5 linked regions of the Macaca mulatta genome follow. The protein of the gene in region 5 purifies or fractionates together with the protein of the main gene of each other region. This does not show direct contact. Links are inferred from orthologs where the notes say so. Each region holds a gene or a part of one and is shown on either strand. Other genes may lie near its edges.

Region 1 (3,480 bases), on a different chromosome or scaffold from region 5:
GCCTGGGCGGCAGAGCGAGACTCCGTCTCAAAAAAAAAAAAAAAAAAAAAAAAAAGAAAGTCCCCTAGGCTGATTGACAGGTTGTCTTGGAGATTAAGGGTCACTTGACAGGAAAAACATAGATGTTTAAATTCCAGAGTACAAGCCAGCATGGTGGCTCATCCCTATTATCCCAGCTACTCGGGAGGATGAGGCCGGAGTTCAAGACCAATCTGGGCAACATAGCAAGACTCTGTCTCTAAAAACAAAACAAAAAATAAATATTTAAAATTCCAGAGTGAAGCCTGGGCAACATAGTGAGACTTTGTCTCTATAAAAAACAATAAAAGAAGAATTATCCAGGTGTGGTGGGATGTTCATGTAATCCTAACTACTGGACATATTGAGGTGAGAGGATTGCTTGAGCCCAGGAGATCAAGGCTGTAGTTTCACCAATATGGTGAAACCCCGTCTCTACTAAAAATACAAAAAATTAGCCCAATGTGCTGGTGTGCACCTATAATTCCAGCTACTGGGGAGGCTGAGGTACGAGAATCACTTGAACCTAAAGGCAGAAGTTTCACCATGTTGATCAGGCTGGTGTTGAACTACTGACCTCGGGTGGTCTGCCCGCCTCAGTCTCCGAAACGGCTGGAATTACAGGTGTGAGCCACCGCGCTTGTTCTAGGACATGTATTTTTGATAGACATACATACACCCGACAGGCAGGATTCACAGTGGTTTCTGATTCTCCCTTGACTCCGAAACTCCAAGCCTAATCTCCGCCCCTGACCAGCTTCTCCTCTCTGAAGAGGAACGGACCCCCAGCTGGCTGCCGGCCCAAGTGTGTGAGCCGCAGTTGCACGCTGGGTGGAGGGGTCTGGGGTTGTCACCGAGCGGTCCCCCAAGCTCCGGTGCTGGTGGGGCCTGAGGATGCTGTGTCCTTGCGGGCCTCCCTGGCGCTACCAGGACGCCTCCAGGCGGCCCGCGGGGACAACAACGGCATTGCGGCCTACGACCTGAAGCTCCTGGGAGGACAACGGGCTGCCAGTCTAGTCCACTGTTCAGGGCGTCCCAGACTCCCGGCTTTAACAGTCCGTGAGGACCCAAACACCGCTGCCCAGTGCCCCGACTCCCACCTGCAGAGGGCGCGACCAACCCAGCTCCTAAAGCCACACGCTGCCTCTGGGGGCTTGGCGCCCACACCCGCTCTGCTTGTCTTCCCCTAGCACGGAGAAGCCTGTCCAACCAGCCGAGAGCCATTTCCCTACGGGGCCTCGTCCCTCTGCACGTGCCTAGGGCTGGGACCCCAGACACAGACCTGCCCCGGACGAGGGAACGCACGGAGCTTCCCGAGATGGTTTCAATCAGTAACTGACGGCAAGAGCACGCTTGTGCCCAGTGTCTCTCCCAGTGCTCCGTGCCGTTGGGACCCAAAGTCCGAACCCGTAGCAGGCCGCGGTGGCTCACGCCTGGAATCCCAACACTTTGGGAGGCTGAGAATCGTTTGAGCCCAGGAGTTCGAGGCCATCCTGGGCAACATAGCGAGACCCCATCTCTGCAAATAATAATAATAATAAAATAGGGGGCGCGGTTGCGCGCACCTGTGGTTCCAGCTACTCGGGAAGTTGAGGTGGGAGGATCGCTTGGGCCCAGGAGTTCGAGGCTGCAGTGAGCCAAGATCGTGCCACTGCACTCCAGCCTGGGCGACAGAGCGAGACCCCGTCACAAAAAAACAAAAAAACAAACCCTAGCTTCCTCTTCTCCCAGAACGCAGGAGTTAGGTCAGGACCCTCTGTTCCCTCCGACCCAAGACCTAGGAGTCCGAACACATAGCGACCTCCTCCTACGACACGCAGGTGCCAGGATCCCCAGAACTGCAGTCCCTTCAAGAACACGTGTTCCCTACAGGGGAGGCCGCGACCAGAGACTCCGCCCACTTCTCCCAGCCCGCTGTGGTGCAACAGCAACGACAGCCAATCAGACGCGGCAGCGCCGGATGGCGGGAGGCGGGAGTTGGGGGCCAAGGGAAGCGCAGGGCGGAAGTGGCTGTGGCTTTGCCCTTTGGCCTTGGCTCGCTGTGTGGCGGCTCGGCGGTTAGCAGGGAGTTCGCTGAGCGTCTCTGCCTAGCCGCGGTCATGAGCCGGCACAGCCGGCTGCAGCGGCAGGTTCTGAGCCTGTACCGCGATCTGCTGCGTGCCGGACGCGGGAAACCGGGCGCCGAGGCGCGAGTGCGGGCCGAGTTCCGGCAGCACGCGGGCCTGCCGCGCTCCGACGTGCTGCGCATCGAGTACCTGTACCGCCGCGGGCGGCGCCAGCTGCAGCTGCTACGCTCAGGCCACGCCACCGCCATGGGCGCCTTCGTACGCCCGCGGGCCCCGACCGAGGAGCCTGGCGGCGTGGGTTCCCAGCCTGACGACGGCGACGGTCCAAGGAACCCCCACGACAGCACGGGGGCACCGGAGACCCGGCCCGACGGACGGTGACTGGCGAAGAGCCGAACTCGCTCGATGGCGTGGTGGAGCCAGGAGGCTCGCCTGACTGCGTGGGGGGCCTGGGGAACCCGCCTAAGGTGAGAGATCTCGAGAGACTAGCTCGACGAATTGGGGATGTCAGAGACTGCCCCTTGGCGACGCAGGGGGCCTAGAGAGCCTCATGATGGACGGCAAGAGAGGCCCACCTTTTCCGGTGCTTGGAGACAGGTCGGCGCTCCTCCCCCATGAGGGCTTGGGGCGGCCTGGGACGCCGGCGGGCTGGACAGTGTCAAGCCGAGAGCTACTTGCCCGAAGGTACGGGGAGCCAGGACGCCCCCTGCTGGACAGGGAGAGCCTGAGACACCCTTCTCTTGACCCCTGAGAACACACCCACCTCTGGCTCCTCGAGTCTCCCCTCTCCTATATTTAACTCTGAGAAGTGCAGACTTTTTGCTGAGAAAGTATTGGGAAGGTTCCCTGATCAAGCGGTGAGAAGCCCGGAATCCCCTTTGGGAAAACTTTCCCCCATTAATTGTGACAAGCCAGGACCACGAGGAAGGGGCTAGCGGTCTGTCACCCTGGTTGATCAACTAAAGGGCCCTACTTGATGGTTTTGAGGGGCAACGTTGACTCATTTGCCCCTTCCCTCTCAGAATGTTGGACAAAGGGAATAAAATTGGGGATATGTCTACTTTCCTGTTGGTGGTCTTAAAGCTTTTATATATTTGAGGATTTTTGAAACCCCCCCCCCCACCACCACCACCGCACACACACACAGACACCTGGAAGGGACCATCTGGGAGGTAATAGGTGTGGGAATCTGACTCCCTCCGGAGTCCTCTAGACTGGCACATTGATTGAAGCAGCATAGTTCTCTCCCCTGGGCAGATTTGTGGAGGGGGTTCATCCTGGCTTAACCCCCAAAGATACCCCAGTTGGCTCCCTAATGGAGGGCAAGTTGTTTAACATCTTTGTGTGGGACAGGAAATGGTGGAGCTGAGAACTGGCTCAAAGCCTCTGAGGCAGT
Region 2 (4,407 bases), on a different chromosome or scaffold from region 5:
AAGGACACATAGAGAGTGACTTGAGAGCCAGGAGTCAGTCAAAGCTGTCAGACTCCAGACTCCAGATCTGCTCTCTCAGGCACTGACTTGGCTTGGAACACCTGGGATAAAATAAAAGCAGAATGTAACTTGGTTTTGTGAGGACACTGAGCTTTTTTCTAAGAGAACCCTAAAAAAAAAAAAAAAAAAAAAGGAAAAGCCAGTATAGATAATAGCTCATCGCTTTTTATCTGTTCGACTGTACATTTCAAGCATTTCAAGTCTCTTAAGACATCTGTTTTGATTCAGCTAATCTTATTTAAATCTAATTTTTGCAAATGCTGATGGATATGATGATAGTTCAGCTGAGTCCTGCTGTTCAGGGAACATTCTGCAGCAGTTAAACAGCAGCCTTCCCCATGTAAGTCCTGACACCACAGGAAAGGTAGATGCTTTTCAGTAACCTTTCCCTGTAGGTCTCTTTCAGAGCCAAGAACATAAGGTATGACCCGTCTGGACTAAAAGAAAAATGAGGCAGAATTGTATCAATTGCTGCTCCTTTTTATGCCCATCTTGTTTTCTTTTTTTTTTTTTTTTTTAATTCCCATCTTGAAAGAGAATTCCCAGAGAGCCTTTTTGAGAGAAAGGTCATTGGATTTATTTTTTTAATTTTTATGCCATTTCTTGTAAAAGCAAACTGCTCGAGTTGGATGCCAGGTGTACATAAATGTATTGATAATATCCAGTCTCTTGCTTAAGACACATCTTTGTGTTCTCTTAAACTCTTACTAAGATTTACATGAGAGGGAGAGAGTCTCACTGTCTTTTCTCGTCTTATGAAAGTGATAACTGACTGGGCACAGTGGCTCATGCCTATGATCCCAGTACTTTGGAAGGTCTAGTGGTAGGCCAGCTTGAGGCTGGGAGTTTGAGACCAGCTTGGGAAACATAGACTCCCTTTCCATTTAAAAAAAAAAAAAAAGGTGAGGCCAAGCGTGGCGGCTCATGCCTGTAATCCCAGCACTTTGGGAGGCTGAGGCGGGCAGATCACAAGGTCAGGAGTTTGAGACCAGCCTGACCAACATGTTAAAACCCCGTCTCTACTAAAAATATAGTAATTAGCCGAGTGTGGTGGCACGCGCCTGTAATCCCAGCTACTCAGGAGGCTGAGGCAGGAGAATCACTTGAACCTGGGAGGCAGAGCTTGCAGTAAGCCGAGATCACGCCACTGTACTCCAGTCTGGGTGAAAGAGCGAGATTCCATCTCAAAAGAAAAAAGAAAATGGTGATAACCAGTGCAACTTTCTCAAGCAATCAGGTTTCTCTGACCTAATGATCTTCAAAAAACAGCTTCAGAGGACTGGCACTAGAGGTTTAGAGTACATAATCATTTTTAAACTCCGAAATGCCCGGGAAATTTGCATATACAGGAAGTAGGTCCAGGCTAAGAAAATTCTCATGTCAGGGTCCTGAGTCAGCATGTTTTTTGTTTAGTTTGCTTTGCTTTGCCTCAGTTTCACATTAGTTGATTCTTCTCCTCTTTGGAAAGTCCATGCTGAGTCAGTTTTTGTGGGTTTCATAACCCCACGGTACTATGCTGCTTATTTTAAGTAGAAAAGCCTTATGTGTGTTGAGTGTGGTAGCTCAGGCCTGTAATCCCAACACAGTGGGAGGCAAAGGCAGAAGGATTACTTGAGGCTGTGAGTTAGAGACCAGCCTGGGCAATAAAGTGAAACCCTGCTCTACAAAAAAAAAAAATTTCTTTATTTTTTTTTTTTTTGAGATGGAGTCTTGCTCTGTCACCCAGGCTGGAGTGCAGTGGCGCGATCTTGGCTCACTGCAACCTCTGCCTCCCCAGTTCAAGTGATTTTCCCGCCTCACCCTCCCGAGTAGCTGGGATTACAGGCGCCTGCCACGACTTATATTTTTAGTAGAGACAGGGATTTACCATGTTGGCCAAGCTGGTCTCGAACTCCTGACCTCAAGTTGTCTGCCCACCTCAGCCTCCCAAAGTACTGGGATTCCAGGTGTGAGCCACTTAACCCAACCTACAAAAAATTTTTTTGAATTCGTCGGGCATGGCGGCACGTGCCTGTAGTCCCAGCTACTCAGGAGGCTGTGGCAGAGGTTCGCTTGAGTCCAGAAGTTTGAGGCTAAAGTGAACTACAGTGAGCTATGACTCCCCCACTGCACTTCAGCCTGGGTGATAGAGCAAGACTCAGCCAAGAAAAAAAAAGAAGAGTTATCTCTTGATAATCTGTATCCAGGTCACCTCAACCTTAAGATGACCAAGACAGTGTTGATTTACTTTACTTTTGGGTGTTGTATCTGTTAGATTTGTGTTCAAATAACAGTGGCTTTAAAAAACATAGGCTTACAGGCGTGAGTCACCACGCCCACCGCTAGTCGGGAGGCTGAGACAGGAGAATCACTTGAACTGGGGAGGCGGAGGTTGTGGTGAGCCAAGATCGCGCCATTGCACCCCAGCCTGGACAACAAGAGCAAAACTCTGTCTCAAAAAAAAAAAAAAAACATTGACGGGTGCGCAGTGGCCCACACCTGTAATCCCAGTGCTTTGGGAGGCCAAGGCAGGCAGATTGCTTGAGCCCAGCAGTTCAAGCCCAGCCTGGGCAACATAACAAAACCCTGTCTCTACAAGCCCCGTCAGTACAAAAATTACAGAAAATTAGCTGGGTGTGGTGGGCTGCTTCTGTAGTCCCAGCTAGTTGGGAGGCTGAGGTGGGAGAATCACTTGAACTCAGGGGTTGAGGGCTGCAGTGAGCTATGATTGCACCACTGCACTCCGGCCTGGTGACAGAGTGAGACTGTTTCTTAAAAAAACAACAACAACAAAAAACACACACAGGCTGATTTTTCTCTCAAAACACTTGCCACATAGAGCTAGAACTGCTGTGGAAACTCCATGGCGCCAGTAGTGCCCAAGCCCCTGGCCTCCTCCAGTGCCATCCTTGGCATGCGGCTTCTAACCTCAAGGTTGCCATATGGTCATAGAGTGGTTTTTGGAACTCAAGCCATTAGAACCATATTCGAGGCAGGAAGAAGGAAGGAAGGGAGAAAAGGCCACAGGTACCTCTGTCAGAGGCATGTTCCATGTCAGTGCTGCCCCTGATGGCAGAGCAAGGAGGACCCAGAAGAAAGGATTTGGGGCAGGACTGATTCCAGATATGGGTGAGGATGTGTTACATGTGTGTCTCTTTCAGGCATCTGTGGCTCTTGTGCAATGAACATCAATGGAGGCAACACTCTAGCTTGCACCCGAAGGATTGACACCAACCTCAATAAGGTCTCAAAAATCTACCCTCTTCCGCATATGTATGTGATAAAGGACCTTGTTCCCGTGAGTTTCTGCATCTCTCTGGTTTTGTTTTTGTTTTTGCTTGCATGGGGGGTGGTGCTATGTGCGTTATGCTATTAGTTTTTTAGGGCAGGATTTGAGTATTTAAGGCTCCTCTTCTAGTCGGATAGTAAATAGATGGGACTATTTCCTATGTTATGGCAAGAGGAGGACCACAGTGTCACTGAGAGGTTAGGAAAATCCCCAGATCTGAGACAGTGTGACCAGAGTTTAATTAAAGAATTTGAATGGCAGAAGATAAATGCCTAGAAAATCCTCCAGCAGCTCATTTGGTGAGGTTTGTTTGAGAATAACAGGGCACAGAATTTTAGAGTTGGAACATTCCCAGAAATGAATAATTTGGCCATAACTACAAAGAAATCATGTGGAAAATACCTGTTGGGAAAGCAACAGCTGTTTATGAGTTCTACTTTAATTTCTGCCTCCCTGTATTTGACCACCTTTGCTGACGTGGTGTTTTCAAGGGCAGAAAGGACTGTGGGATTGGCAGGTTTCCCAGGTAGGTGAGGGAGACGTTTCCTAACCATGCTTAACATTGTGACCATTTCTCCTTTTGTAATCTTTGCATATATTCGTGACAAAGGAAGAGAGTCTGGCTTCTGCCTGGCATAGAGTGGACGACTAGTCAAGTGTCCAAGAAATGGGGTAAATAAAGCTGAGGTGATGATGGAATCTGATCCTTTTCTTCTTCTTCCTCTTAACCACAGGATTTGAGCAACTTCTATGCTCAGTACAAATCCATTGAGCCTTATTTGAAGAAGAAGGATGAATCTCAGGAAGGCAAGCAGCAGTATCTGCAGTCCATAGAAGAGCGTGAGAAACTGGTCATTAGTCCCTATTTATTGTTTTGATCTGAAAAATTTATTGCAAAGATGTTTGCCAGGAGTGTGACTTGTCAGGGAACATGAGCTGATGCAAGCCATTTAGTGTATCCTGGAAAGGAACTGGCACAAGGGTGGGGCAGTCATCCTCTTAGGGCCGGGTGAGTAGTGTGAACCCATGAATGGCCCAGAGTGGACCAAGGAGCTAGAGCCCCTGTGCCACATCTGCAG
Region 3 (4,407 bases), on a different chromosome or scaffold from region 5:
ATGTCCAGAGTGGCTTTATTTGTAATAACCAAAAACGAACCAACCCAGATGTCTTTCAACAGATGATGGTTAAACAAACTGTGGTAGGTACATCCATATCATAGATTGCTACATAGCAAGAAAAAGGACTATAATGGGATTCTTACACACTGGATGTCTGTATCAAAACATCTCATGTACCTTGTAAATATATACACCTACTATGTACCCACAAAAATTAACACAAGAAAATGGAACTAAATACTGATAAATACAACAACTTAAGAGTTTTCCACAAAACTCTCCCTGAAAAGTAAAAACAGCATGTTACCACTGCACTGTCCTGCAGCATGGTGCACTGGTAGAGACCACTGATCTGTGATGCTATGTTAATGGAGCAGACAGCTGCCATCCCAAAAGGCGGGACCCTAATTTGCTGCTAGGACAGGACCTTCTAACCATGGATGCTTTTCAGGGCTGACACATGTGATCTGTGTAGTTGTATAGGGATTTAATGTTTAGCAATAGCTGTCTTGAAATTTTAACACGGGTCCCCTGCCTTTTTATTTTGCACTGGATTCTGCAACCCAGATAGCTAGTTCTAGTGTCTGGATACACAAAAGGAATGGTGAAAGGCAGACTGGCAGGAGGGAGAGTTAGGTTCTGGTCTCAGCTCTACCACTCACAATTTCATGATTGAGGCAGGCTACTTTCCTGTAGGCTTTATTTTCTATGTGTGGATGAGGGGTGTGTGTCCACATACTATACATACTTGGGTGCTTCAGCTGATCTTCCTAATGAAATATACTCCCAGCAATAAAAATGGCTCAAAATTGTAGTCATCCCAAAATAAGGAATGGGGCATTTAGAAAAACCACCACAATAGGTAATTCTGACAGACACACCTGGAGTGGAGGGCCACTGTGTGGGAGCAGCGAATGTCCCTCATTGAGTATAAGGCTGTCATAGCAAGCACTTCTCAACTAAATAGAATACATCTGTGTTCTCAGAGGGACAGCCATTGCTTGGTCACTCACCGTCACCCACTTTTGCTAAATGCTAATGATGATAAATAATATTACTATCATAGAGCCCTTTTTATTTTTCTTCAAAGACATACCACTTACTAAACAGATTAGATGAGCTTTAAAAAATAAAATGGCACATTGCCAAAGAGCAGTATTTCATTAGATTTTGTCAAAAACTAAAAGATGGGTTTCTTTTCTATTTTTTAACACATACATAGAAAATGACCCAAAGCATCCATATTACCTTGTTAACTTTCACACCTTCTTTTGGAGTTTGTTTTGTCGCTAGATTGTACCCAATCATCTGTTTAGCCAGCTGTCCCACAACATTTGGGCTAAGAGAAAGAGAAAACAAAGGGAAAATGAATGTTTGTTGAAAATCATTTTAAAGCAGAGTCCTTACACAGAGTCTCATGTCTACACTGCAAAGGGTTCACCTTCACCCTCACAAAATCCATGGGTCTTTCTGCTTCTGTGCTACGTGTTTAGCACTGTACTAGAGGTTCACTGAGAGCAAAATAAAAATGAGTTCATGAATGAATAAAGGAAACAAAAGATGCTTTGTGACCTCTTCACCCAAAACAGTTACAGTCATAGTAAAGAGATAATGCTAAAATGCATACCAGAATCAGATAAGAGTTGACTGAAGATCCGGCAGCGGAAAACTGGGGAGATATTGAACAATGAGAGGGATAGGAAGAGGGTAAAGATCAAAGTAAATAGTAAAAAGGTGTGTGACAGGAACAGGGAGGAGAGGAAAGTGTTCAGTGCTACGAGACACAGTAGATGAAGGTGAAAAGACAGGCCAAATAAAGGAAGGCTTGGACTATCAGAGGGGAGGTACCCCAGGTGCCACTGGTAATGGGGAGTCACTGCAGGTTCTTGAATAGGAGTGACATTATGGAAGTAGCATTTCAGTTGGAAGTGGTATCATTTCCAACATTTATGATGAATCATTGATTGTCTAGGAGAGAAGGACTGTCAAGTTTTCACCAATTAGTAAGAAAAATCATTTTGTGGGAGCAGAAGGGAAACTAGGCCACTGCCAGAGCCCTCTACCTATGATTTCAGTTTGTTCTAGTTGCTTTGGCCCGCTCCTACCCCACCACAAGCATCCTCAGTGTGCCTTTCAATCTTGAGCAAGATCTTCCATAACTGCTTGGCCGAAAGACAAGGAATAACAACCTCCAGACTTACTCTTTTGTTAAATGAACACCTCCTTTCAAACCACTATTGAAGACACCTTTTCCTCTTCCTCCAGCTAAGATCTGGGCTTTTAAAACAATTTCTTTTGCATCTGAAAAAGAAAAATCCAGAGTTGGTAGCTGATTTTAAATTCTTTTTTTTGTTTTTTAAGCAACAAGGAAAGCAATAATGGCACATAACTTCCGAGTAACTGGTAAAAGCTCTTTCAAACTAACTTTGAAAACAAATGCAATGAAGAACTTCAAAAAAAAAAAAAAAATCAATGTGCCTAGTACGAAGCTTGTTTACTGAGGATATTCAAATGCTTCCTACCAGTTTAATCATCGAATACTTGACCTTCCCAAGGGAAAGCAAGGCATGTGTTCCCTTGCTCTTTTGAGTGTGTCAGAAAAAGCTAAATAAACCCTGGAAGGAGGTATTAATTTTCCTGTGCAATGGCACTCCCATATGGCAGAAGCACCAGTCTGCCAGTAAGAGGAGCTAACCATCAGAGATGTCAAAGGGAAGACTGGATTATGTGGGGGAAGGTTTAAAGACAAGACACAAAGGTCATAGTTAATAACTACATTATTGGAAACCAATAGTTTTCTGAGCAGTTGTTCTATATATTGATAGGGTTAGGCAAGGGAGGAGGAAATGGATTAAAACTAAAAGCAAGCAGTATTTTAAACTTATTGGCAAGGTAACAAAATATCCTGGGGCAAAGTGGTTGTGGAATCTTTGTTTCTCTTCACACTCTAGGAATGAAAGAACTCTCTAATCTTGACTTTTTAGATGAGAGTTATTAACACAAGTACGTTCCCTTGCAGGGAAGTTGGGTGCGTGAAGTAGCCCAGTGACAAATGGGGCCTTTAGCAAACAGGGTAGCTCCCCTCCCCAACCACCAAAAAAAAAAAAAAAAAAGCCTCCAAATCAAATATGTTTAATAAACCAAACAGCACACATCTGCAGACCACAGCTGATACTGATATCCTCTGTTTGTGAGTCATCTTTATTTAAAATCAGAGAACCCAATCGATCCTCTATAAGGCCGTAAGAGTATTCTGGTTCAATATAACAGATTTAGAATCTGCAAACCCAGGTTTCAATCTGGCCTTCATCCCTCACCCAGCTGTGTGACATGAGGTGAGTTACTTAATGTCTCTGAAACTCGGTTTATTCAATTGTGAAATGATGATGAGGGTTGTTTTAGAAATTAAATGAACATACATGAATGCTTTATCCCAGAGCCTGAAAACTCATGATTAATTAAAAACTATTGCCTCAACCAGTTAGTTCATTCATTACCTTTGTATATTGTAAAGAATGAAAGGGATCATTACAGAGATGGCTAAACCAAAAAACTAACATTTTGTTGGTATCTGCCACTGCTCAATGAAGCAAGCGCTCCATTAAGTTTGGTTATTTCAGCTACTACTGTCACTGTCATCCTCACTGTTACTCACAGGCAAGCAAGTAAAGGTTCAAATGGAAAGAGCCGTGAAAGGTTTTATCATGAAGGCAATGGGGAGCTACAGAAGTATTTTACAGAAGGCATTCGGCCAGCTGATGTCACACCATTGAGGCTCCTTCACTGTCTTTATTGGTTAGTCTTCTTGTCTCCTATATTTGCTTACACTCAGAAAGCTGAAGCCCACCTTGTTCTCAGAAGCAAACACAGTTTTTTCTTAGAATGCTGTCCTGTGTACCCTCCGGCAATAATTTCTGCCCTGGATACGGACCATCACAACATCGGTCAAGCCCTGTCTTAAAATAAACTGGTTTCCATCAAGCTGAGTAGAAGACAAATTAATTGTCAGAAACTTACAAGGAAAGCAACCAAGTAAAATGAATGCACTGCATATTTAGCATACTGTAAGAACAGTAGTAAGAGCAAGGATATTGGAGTTAAACAGACCTGGTTACAATCTCCAACTGCACCTGTCACTTTCTTTGCAGAGAAGAAACAACTGAGATTCAGAAAGGTAAAAGTAGCATGCCCTTCTGTAAAGCAGTCATATTAAAGGAGTCTACAGTGTAAGGATGATGTGAAGAATAAATGAAATATAGTAAAGTGCCTGCCACAGTTTTTTAAGTCAAAATATGACAGCTATCATCATTATAATAATTTTCAGCAATTAAGAAAAAATGGCACACAGGAAGACATTTCCTATTTTTCTTTGGAAGACATCAACTGGAAAAAATACTTTTTGCT
Region 4 (4,903 bases), on a different chromosome or scaffold from region 5:
CAGGAGCTACGGTCATGAAAAAGGGGTTTGCAGCCTTGGCGGCTTTATGGCCGCCGAGGACTAGGGAGGCGGGCCAGGACACGGGGACCTGAGGACCTGAAAGACTGGAAGGTGCCCGCTGCCCACCCCCGGGCCCACCTGCTCCTCCAGTCTCTCAATCTCCAGCTGGTTCTTCTCCTCCTCTTCGTCATATTCCCACTCGTACTCCCCGGGGGAGCTCTCCGCGGAGGAAGCCATGGCGTACTCATCCCCATCGCTCTCGCTCACGCCTTCCTCCTGCTGATCCCACCCTGGCCCCACGGTCTTGTATGTCGCAGCGGCCACAGCCCGCGATAACACCTTCCTTCTTGTCCTCGCCGCCTTAACCTCATCCTCCTCTCCGTCAGCCTTGGGCCCAGCCTTGGACTCAGCCTCAGGTTCTGAAGCCGAGGTTGCGGCCGCAGTCGCCATCTTGCGCTTCTAATGACTCTCGGGTCTTCCCGCGGCCGCCAAAGACCCGCTGAGGCAGAAGCTGCCCGCGGCGCGCGCCTTATCAAAAGCCCGTTTTCTTGACACTGAAAGGGAAACTGGGAACCTTAGATAACGAGAAAATCTCCAAATACACTAAATTCATTTTATTTTATACCCCTGTAAAAACTCCCACCAGAGAAAAAACTCATTATCATGGCATACGTTCCGTCACAACTTCGGACAGAAGTTGGGTCTTTGGGCAGGAAGTGGAGGCCATAGAGGAAGTCATGGAGCGAGCGTGGTGTCTGTAGTAAAGAATTTGGCGCCATCTTGAGAAGGTCAAAGTGATTCTTAGAAAAAATACCTTACTTATCGCCTAGCGTGACCTGGCGCTTGGGTTTAGTCTCCCCAGCAACTGCACCTCAAACGCAAAGAAAACTGCAGGTCCTCGGGGAAGGATCGATTTCACCATTCAAGAGAAAAATCCATTTCCCAAAGAAATTCTTCCCCTTTATGTAAACATCTGGTACCTAGGAGGCGTTAAATACACTTGAGTTTTCCGGTTTTATAAGCTCACATACTGCAAACCAACAGTAAATACGCATTTCTTTAGAAATTCTTAATTGCTAGGCACCGACATATAAATTGAATTTGCTGTTGTTTTAGAGAGAAAAATAGACATATACTCATTTTTTTTCAATCAGGACATGGTGTTCGTTTCCTTCTTAAGCTTCCCATTGTTGAGGTAGGCAAGTACTGGAGTGTGTCTCTATCTCTACCTTGCTCCCTCATTAGCAAGCTTAATAGGCAGGAATTACGTCTGTTTTGCTTTCTGTTGGATCCCCGGGTCTAGTAGAGTGCCTTGACACATAGTAGGTACTCGACACAGATGCTGGCTTCATGATGAAGGAATTGTCCTCGAATTAATACAAAAGGGAAGATTCAGACTTAGCAAGCCGGTACCATTTGTCTAGGGACACACAGCCAGGAAGGAACCGAACCAGGATTCTAACCCAGGACTACCCAAGTTCGAATTCTAATTGAACCTAAGCCCTAAGCGACCTTGGACGGAGTGACCAAACTGCCCTGAATCTCAGCTTCCTTAGCTGCAAAATAGGGTTAGGAAAAGTGGACTCAGTGGTCCTCTGCGCCGCATTCCCACACTGCAGAAGCCTGAGATCCTCTCTCAACCAGAATCCAGCACCCAGGACAAGCCCTCTAGCGACTTCAGACCTTCCCGCTCCCGACCCCGCCCGCCCCCGAGAGGCGTGGTCAAGGCGGGGCCACAGGGCGGAGGCTTGCACGGAACGGTAAGGCGCAGGCGCAAAGCCTCGGTGACGCCAGAGAGGCGCGCTCCCAGCTCGGCGCCGACTCGCAGACGCGCCCCGCCCCTCGGCATCGCTCTGGACTGGCGCAGGCGCAAGCCGGCAAGATGGCGGCAGCTGGAGCTGGCCGTCTGAGGCGGGCAGCGTCGGCTCTGCTGCTCCGGAGCCCCCGCCTGCCCGCCCGGGAGCTATCGGCCCCGGCCCGACTCTATCACAAGAAGGTAGGGACAAACGAGGGGACACGCGGAATGCCGACTCGGGGGAGGCCTGGGCTGGAGCGGCGGCCGCGGGGTTCTACGCAGCCAGGACTAGCTGTCGCCTCCCACGTCTTTCCCCTGACTCACTTTCCCTTGCTACGCAGTGAGGCTCACTGCAACTGATAAACAACAGTTACCGCTTATCGGGCTGCGACTTCCAGGGGGCCCCGCCGCTGGCCGCGACTTCGTGCGTCCCAACTTTAAATTCGCCAACAGCCCAGGAGGCAGGGTCCTGTTGGGACTTGTCTTTTACAGTCCATTGACAGACACACCCCCGGAGCGGGCTCCGGCTTCAGCCACGCTGCTGCCCTGGCCAGATGACCTTGCGCTAGTCACTGCGCCTCTCTGAACTTGTTTCCCCAGGTGTAAATGAGGACTCTCAGCTGTCTCTTACAAAGGATACTGTGCATGGAGTCCTGTCATGGTTCCTGGCACATAGGCCCCAGCACGAGGAGACCGTTTTTGTTACTGCTTTAGGAGTGCATAGGGGAGTCAGACTTGTAACCAACATGCGTAGTGTTTTTGTTTTGTTTTGGGGGTTTTTTTGGCGGGGAAGGAGGGATAGATGCATAGTTTGCAGCCCCTTGCTGTCTGGTGACGCAAAGTCCCCCAGACGTGAGACTGCCACTCTAGAAACAGAATAAATCAACGTGGCACAAAAAGTCCCTCCGTTAGATACTATCCTATAGGGGCCTTTACTTGGAGTCAAAATCCTTAGATGGGGAGGAAAAGGGGACTGGAAGATCGGGGTGCTTACTACTAACCAGTAACCACATTAAGGCCTTCTGTGTGCCAGTTCGAATAGATGTTGATTCTGATCTGGCCTCTGCCCTTTCTCCAAGGGCTTCTTCACTCCTCCCCCTCCCGGCGGTGTGTTTCGTTGAGGGTACACCCCGAGGAAACTTGGACTAGCAGCCTTTCAGCAGCCAGGGTGCGCTGCTGCACCAGGGTGATGACAGGCTCTGAAATACGGTAATGGCACTGTTTTTATTTTGAAAGACACATAAACGTACACATTCCATAGCATTGTTCTCTGTGTAACAGTCACCTTAAGGCTTCTAAAAGTTTTCCCTTCCTGGGCCATAGTTATTTTTAGAATTTTTAAATAGTAATCATCCTTTGAGGATAGTTTTTATTTGAAAATAACAAAACTGCTGTTTGAGCCCAAGTCTGGTGATGTAGGTGGGTAAAAGTCAAGTATTTTTGTAAAAACCCTATGGAATTAAGACATGATTTCACTGATATTTTTTTCTTCTAGGTGTCGCTAATCTGTGAAGTAGTTGTAGAGGAGACACAAAAGGAATTGGGGGTCACAAATGGTTCTCACTGACATGAGTGTAGACCTTTCTACTCAGGTGAAATTTGGTGATTGCCTGCCAGGTTCAAGATGCTGACTTCCAGGAGCTTGCCACCATACCAGAGACCAGCACCAATAGAGAGTGAACACGATTTATCTTAACCCTCTCATTTTAGGTTGTTGATCATTATGAAAATCCTAGAAACGTGGGGTCCCTTGACAAGACATCTAAAAATGTTGGAACTGGACTGGTGGGGGCTCCAGCATGTGGTGACGTAATGAAATTACAGGTATGGCTAGTCTTTAATAGTGATAACAATAATCCCTTTAAGTTTACAAAGCACTTGCACATACAGCATTTCACTCGGTCTCCATCTTTATTCCTGTGAGATGGGATGAGTCCATGTTAGACATGATTGGAACAGGGCCTCAATCGTAGCTCTCCTGCTAGGCTAGTGTACTATGCCGACTTTTTCCGAAATAGAAAAGTAATCTCATTTTTGTACTCACTGTATAAGTTTAAATTCCAACTTCAGCCAACGAAAGAGTTTTGTAAATTTTACTGATCAAAGGAAAATCCCAGTGAGCTAGCAGTCCCCAATGAGATAAGAAACACAGTAAATTAAACCTGTCCCCAGATTGGGAGCAACATGAAGATAGTGTCTAGTGCTTTGGGTAAACTGTTGTTGTAGCGCCAATCTGCTGCTTCATGGTGAGTGGGCAGCTTGCCAGAGATCTTCATACCTATCTTGGAATACAGAAACAAAACAGGAGGAAACCACTAAGTATAATCTGCTGCCCAAGAAAAAAGTATTAACCAGAGACCTTTATTGTGTACTCTCTCAGTGTTTAAGAGGCAGATTGCCCCAGCAGCTGTGAGCAGACTGCCTCAAATAGAAGTTCATAGCCAAAATGCAAGCCAGAGTCGCAAAACAAAATAATATTGGGGTGGAGGAACATATTTTTCAGCTGATCTTTGTCAGTTGGGCCTGGATAGTTGTCCCTGCATTTCACTTTTCATCACTGAGCTCTCTGAAACAAGGCAAAATCAGTAATTAATACCATCACTTAGTATGGAAAGCAAGCCCAAAGCCCTTGGGGAAGGCCCCAATGAAACTTCGTGAGTGCCAAGTTCCAGAGGGTGGTCCTAGGACTCACCACTTAACTCTTGTCTCTTTTCTAGATTCAAGTGGATGAAAAGGGGAAAATTGTGGATGCTAGGTTTAAAACATTTGGCTGTGGTTCTGCAATTGCCTCCAGCTCATTAGCCACTGAATGGGTGAAAGGAAAGACGGTAAGGTTGCTCACAAATCTGACAGAATGAAATTGCATTCACCCCAAGCCTGTCTCTTGACGGGTCTAATGGGTCAAAAACAACCATAACTTTTTTTTAATATTCTGAATTTTTAAAGTTTCTGCTATACAGATGTTGATTATATTAATTCTTCAAATTGGGAATTATAGATCATTCTAGATGATGTTTGGGTTTTTTTCTTGTTGATCATTTTGTTTGTTTGTTTGGGTGTTAATTACATACAAAAAAGATCCTCACCTGTCCCTCTAACAAAATAGAA
Region 5 (5,200 bases):
AGATCAAGACCATCCTGGCCATCATGGTGAAACCCCGACTCTACTAAAAATACAAAACTTAGCTGGGCGTGGTGTCACGTGCCTGTAATCCCAGCTACTTGGGAGGCTGAGGCAGGAGAATCGCTTGAACCAGGGAGTCTGAAGTTGCAGTGATCCGAGATCACGCCACTGCACTCTAGCCTGCGAGAGACAAAGCGAGACTCTGTCTCAAAAAAAAAAACAAAAAAAGACGGTACTAAACCAGATAAGGACATAAACATGTACACGCTTTTGTTATTAGTCCTTACCAGAAAATTTTGTGGTCATAAGACCAGGACTTTATTAGGTCAGAATGGCTGTCCTAACAGACACCATCTTGCTGTCACTCACGATTAACACCCAGCATCTGCCACCAAAGGCTCATCCACATCAAAAACTCTTCCTTACAAGACACTGACACCCCAGATCAAGCCAAAACACTCTCTTTGTCCACATTGCTCTCCTTGGACTGGTTTGATAACCGCTTTCCCTATCCCCTTTTCTCTGAATGTTAAATGTTACTTTAATGTAAGATTTTTAACCTATAACATTTATATATTAAATAACTATACTATTGTGTATAATTTACAATGCTGACTGACTTGTGGAATGGCTTCAGCCTGTGTGCCCATGGTTCTGACTACCAAGTAAACAGGTAGTACTACAGAAAATTGCTTCCTTGGGAACTCCATGTAGCTCGTGGCTTTTACAATTAAAATAAAACATCAGTAAGTCTGATCTTGTGGAAAAACACAAATGTTCACGGACCTAGTTATGTCTGACCTTGCCCTGTTCACATACACCATTGGTGGGAATGCAAATTAGTATAGCCACTAATCACAAAAGTATTGTGATTCCTCAAAAAACTGAAATTAGGCTGGGTGCAGTGGCTCACACCTGTAATCCCAGCACTTTGGGAGGCCAAGGCGGGTGGATCACCTGAGGTCAGGAGTTCAAGACCAGCCTGGCCAACATGGTAAAACCCCATCTCTACTAAAAATACTAGCCGGGCATGGTGGCGGGCACCTATAATCCTAGATACTTTGGAGGCTGAGGCAGGAGAACCGCTTGAACCCAGGAGGCAGAAGTTGCAGTGAGCCCAGATCGCGCCACTGCACTCCAGCCTGGCAACAGAGAGAGACTCCGTCTCAAAAAAAAAAAAAAAAAGGTACATATGTGGTACTCATACATGTATACTTTATATCAAAAATAAATAATTTTTTTAAAAAAGTCCAGAAGGCTTTCAAGTGAAACACAATCTTTTTTTTCAAGTAGAAAACCTAAGTCCGAAGGAGGACTGATTCCCTCCTACCCACTCCTGGCCACCCTATCCCATACACTTACTTAGGGACTTACTTAGGGACACGCAGAACATCCTCCTACACAGCTCAGTGCGTTTCCAGTTCCTGCAGCGCCCAGTAGCTAAGACTGGCCTCTCTATAAGTATTTTAGAGATTGAATCTAAAGAATGGCAATGATTACTAACATCTATAGAACTTTTTACAAAGTAACTTCGCTCTGATATTGAAGAACACAACTCTGTTCCTTCTTATCCTGTCCGTTCAGGCCTGTTTCAGCTTGTAAGTAATACGGGAAGTGAACTTCACCTCGAGGATGATCTACTAAAAAGGAAGAGAGTCGCCCACACACTCCCCCTTCAGTACAAAAATACAGACAAAGCGAAGCTCAGGAGACTCCGCTCGCACGAAACGCTGAAGATGGGATTCGAACCACCAAACACCCAACAGAAGTTCCCAATATGACTCACCGCGTGAGCCCACCTGGAGCCGCACACTCTCCACAGCCTCAGCCTGCAGTGGCGCTAAACCTGCAGATACAAACTCCACCCTCAGCCAATCAAAACCCTCTCCCCTGCCGCCGGACCAATGAGGAGCAGCAGATGTGGCCGTCAGGCATCGCCTCAATGCTTCCTGGGAGTTGTAGTTTAGAAGGCAGAGCGGAACTTAGAACTCGGGTTCCCCTCGGGTGATCCCGCCCCCTCGACTCCCCAGCCAATCAGCAGCATTAGTCTGGTTGGACGCTCTCTTTGCTTTTCCCCACGGGTGACCACGGCTAGCTAGGCCGCCGGCGAGATGTGGCGGGGGAGAGTCGGGGCTTTGCTCCGGGTGTGGGGGTTTTGGCCGACAGGGGGTCCCAGAAGGAGACTGCTAAGCTGCGATGCTGCGTCGCAGGCGGAAAGCAATTCTCCCCACTGCTGGAACTGCGGCGGCCCATGGGGCCCCGGGCGGGAGGACAGGTTCTTCTGCCCACAGTGCAGAGCGCTGCAGGCACCTGACCCCACTCGAGACTACTTCAGCCTTATGGACTGGTACGAGCGACTGTTTCGGGAAACGGGCCCGGGCGAGAGAGACGTCGGGGTCTGGCCTGCGAGAGGGGAGGACGGATCTGGCTTGCGGAAGAGAAGGCGGGACCGATAGGGGGGCGGAGGTCTAGAGAGCAGGCGTGAGAGAAGTGTCTTGATTTCTCAGGAGGAAATTGAGAGGCGGGGACTGAGGGAAGCAGCGTTGAGGTGTGGAGAAGGGAGACGAACGAGACTGGAGGGGCGGGCGCTGAAGTTAGAGGAAATAGGGGGGCCGAGGCTAGAGGGGAGGGAAATTTGAGGGGCGGTACCTACGGGAAAGGGAAGGAGAAGTCGAGGGGCGGAGCTTGAGGAAGGGGTACTTGAGGGGCAGGGCCCGGGAGACTGGAAGAGTTGGTTTGATGTATTTAAGAAAGGACTGCAGAAGTGTAGTCCGAAATTGGGGAGTAAAGCATGAAAATCTTAATATTGTAGGCGAGACCTGAGGGAAAAGTGAGAATTCGAGGGAAAGGGTCCAATAAATAGTTTTTTCCCCTGAGGCTGACGATCTTGGAGAGATGGGGCAGTGTGGATAGAGCTGAACTGATAAGGAAATAGGACAGACTCTGGGAGTAGAGTGTGAACGGGGTTGAATTAAAATAAACCGGGAGACAGGGATGAAGGGACCTGGGCTGTGGAAAAGATAGGGTGGTATTAAAGAAAACGTTATTCAGTCACACTTGTTCAAACACCAGAAAGACTTTATTCAAGATCATCTTGGCCGGGCGCGGTGGCTCACGCCTGTAATCCCAGCACTTTGGGAGGCCGAGGCGGGCGGATCACAAGGTCAGAAGATCGAGACCACGGTGAAACCCTGTCTCTACTAAAAATACAAAAAATTAGCCGGCCGCGGTGGCGGGCGCCTGTAGTCCCAGCTACTCCGGAGGCTGAGGCAGGAGAATGGCGTGAACCCAGGAGGCGGAGCTTGCAGTGAGCCGAGATCGCGCCACTGCACTCCAGCCTGGGGAACAGAGCGAGACTCCCTCTCAAAAAAAAAAAAAAAGAAAAGAAAAGGCCGGGCGCGGTGGCTCAAGCCTGTAATCCCAGCACTTTGGGAGGCCGAGACGGGCGGATCACGAGGTCAGGAGATCGAGACCATCCTGGCTAACACGGTGAAACCCCATCTCTACTAAAAAATACAAAAAACTAGCCGGGCGAAGTGGCGGGCGCCTGTGGTCCCAGCTACTCGGGAGGCTGAGGCAGGAGATGGCGTAAACCCGGGAGGCGGAGCTTGCAGTGAGCTGAGATCTGGCCACTGCACTCCAGCCTGGGCGACAGAGCCAGACTCAGTCTCAAAAAAAAAAAAAAAAGAAAAGAAAATAAAGATCATCTTGTAGAGGGGGCACTGCAATAGAGTCTTGCAGTTAGGGAGAGAGATTGGTCTCAACTCCAAAAACAGCATGGGCAGAAGGAAATTTGTAGCCAAGGAGCAGAGTAAACGGGATTCTGGCTAAACCGACCTAACAGTATTCTTGCTGAAGACAGGCCAGGGTGCTCAGACATTACCTAGGGGATGGTGGAGGATGAACACTCTGATCAGAGATTTAGGATAATCAAATATCTAAGATTCTAGCTAAACTGACTTAGCAAGGTTATTTGCCAAAACTGGATTTTACAAGAAAGCATACAGCTGGGCCTAGGAGAAGGTTCAGAAATCTGACTAAAGTTTGGCCAGGCAAAAAATCTTTGTGTAATTTAGGAATGTCCTTTTCCCTTAACTGTGGGATCTGCCCCCACCAGTCATTGAACATGTATAAGGGGCTACAGTAACACTGATCTTTAAGTTCCTCAGGCATCCCTGTCTTGCTTCCACCTCGAGGTCCTTGCTCTTGGAATTCCACCTGGATGTCTCTTTCATCTGATCTTTGACTACTCATCATTCAGGTTTCAGTTCAGTGTCGTCTCATTGTCCACTACATCTGCTACCCACTCTGATTCTGTTCTGTGTCCCTTCGTAGGACCTACCACTTTTTGAAATTATCTGTGTATATGTTATTGCAACTTCCCCATAAGAGCAAGAACCAGGCTCATGGTAGACAAATCTTTAAATATCTGTTGCATAAATTTAATCTCCCAATTTCTTTCCAGCAACCGTTCCTTCAGAGTTGATACTGCAAAGCTCCAGCACAGGTACCAGCAACTGCAGCGTCTTGTCCACCCAGATTTCTTCAGCCAGAGGTCTCAGGTAGCTTATTGGCCAACCCCAATAATCCCCAAATATGTGTGCATACTGGGTGGCAGTGGCCTTGTGATTATGTGATTATCATGGACCCAGCTGGAAAATCAGCTGTGTCTGCCCCATGGCAGTCTGACCCTAGCCTGCCAGACCCAGAGCTGCCATTCACTCATAGCTTTTGTCTGACTTCCCCGATAACTTAAAACCTATCAGCTGAGTATAAAGACATCTCATCCCACACCAGCTCTACTTAACCACTTCCTTAGGTGCCTGCCCATCAGCATATTATAAAACTTTGTGGGCCTGCCTGGTGCAGTGGCTCATGCCTCTAATCCCAGCACTTTGGGAGGCCCAGGCAGGCGGATCACTTGAAGTCGGGAGTTCAAGACCAGCCTGGCCAACATGGTGAAACCCTGTCTCTACTAAAAATATAAAAATTAGCCTAGTGCAGTGGCACACGCTTATAGTCCCAGCTACTTGAGAGGCTAAGGCAGGAGGATCACTTGAACGTGGGAGACAGAGGTTGCAGTGAGCTGAGTTCATGCCACTGCCACTCCAGCCTGGATGACTCTGTCTAAAAAAAAAAAAAAAAAAACTTTGTAATTTGGATGGTAAAGTACTATCTTCATCTCCACTAACAGACTGAA

What was found.
Region 1: the proteins of HSCB (region 5) and SDHAF1 purify together in Homo sapiens (co-immunoprecipitation; 3 studies listed by BioGRID and IntAct, with this or other methods). This does not show direct contact. The link is inferred for Macaca mulatta from reciprocal best matches to the Homo sapiens genes HSCB and SDHAF1.
Region 2: the proteins of HSCB (region 5) and SDHB purify together in Homo sapiens (co-immunoprecipitation; 3 studies listed by BioGRID and IntAct, with this or other methods). This does not show direct contact. The link is inferred for Macaca mulatta from reciprocal best matches to the Homo sapiens genes HSCB and SDHB.
Region 3: the proteins of HSCB (region 5) and SUCLG2 purify together in Homo sapiens (affinity purification with mass spectrometry; 3 studies listed by BioGRID and IntAct, with this or other methods). This does not show direct contact. The link is inferred for Macaca mulatta from reciprocal best matches to the Homo sapiens genes HSCB and SUCLG2.
Region 4: the proteins of HSCB (region 5) and ISCU purify together in Homo sapiens (affinity purification with western blotting; 3 studies listed by BioGRID and IntAct, with this or other methods). This does not show direct contact. The link is inferred for Macaca mulatta from reciprocal best matches to the Homo sapiens genes HSCB and ISCU.

What each region holds. Positions count from the first base shown.
Region 1 is NC_133424.1:47,250,642-47,254,121, forward strand, and holds SDHAF1 (succinate dehydrogenase assembly factor 1, mitochondrial), read left to right. Parts: upstream 1-2,014; 5' UTR 2,015-2,117; coding exon 2,118-2,465; 3' UTR 2,466-2,704; downstream 2,705-3,480.
Region 2 is NC_133406.1:223,985,230-223,989,636, forward strand, and holds part of SDHB (succinate dehydrogenase [ubiquinone] iron-sulfur subunit, mitochondrial), read left to right. Parts: intron 1-3,200; coding exon 3,201-3,337; intron 3,338-4,062; coding exon 4,063-4,179; intron 4,180-4,407. UniProt on the Homo sapiens protein: Iron-sulfur protein (IP) subunit of the succinate dehydrogenase complex (mitochondrial respiratory chain complex II), responsible for transferring electrons from succinate to ubiquinone (coenzyme Q).
Region 3 is NC_133407.1:131,056,030-131,060,436, forward strand, and holds part of SUCLG2 (succinate--CoA ligase [GDP-forming] subunit beta, mitochondrial), read right to left. Parts: intron 2,305-4,407; coding exon 2,205-2,304; intron 1,343-2,204; coding exon 1,252-1,342; intron 1-1,251. UniProt on the Homo sapiens protein: GTP-specific succinyl-CoA synthetase functions in the citric acid cycle (TCA), coupling the hydrolysis of succinyl-CoA to the synthesis of GTP and thus represents the only step of substrate-level phosphorylation in the TCA.
Region 4 is NC_133416.1:115,689,206-115,694,108, forward strand, and holds the start of ISCU (iron-sulfur cluster assembly enzyme ISCU), read left to right. Parts: upstream 1-1,829; 5' UTR 1,830-1,882; coding exon 1,883-1,996; intron 1,997-2,884; exon of another isoform or gene 2,885-3,004; intron 3,005-3,290; exon of another isoform or gene 3,291-3,348; coding exon of another isoform or gene 3,349-3,387; intron 3,388-3,505; coding exon 3,506-3,619; intron 3,620-4,512; coding exon 4,513-4,623; intron 4,624-4,903. Other genes in the region: SART3 (spliceosome associated factor 3, U4/U6 recycling protein), read right to left, coding at 139-450.
Region 5 is NC_133415.1:22,808,504-22,813,703, reverse strand, and holds the start of HSCB (iron-sulfur cluster co-chaperone protein HscB), read left to right. Parts: upstream 1-2,058; 5' UTR 2,059-2,111; coding exon 2,112-2,347; intron 2,348-4,465; coding exon 4,466-4,562; intron 4,563-5,194; coding exon 5,195-5,200.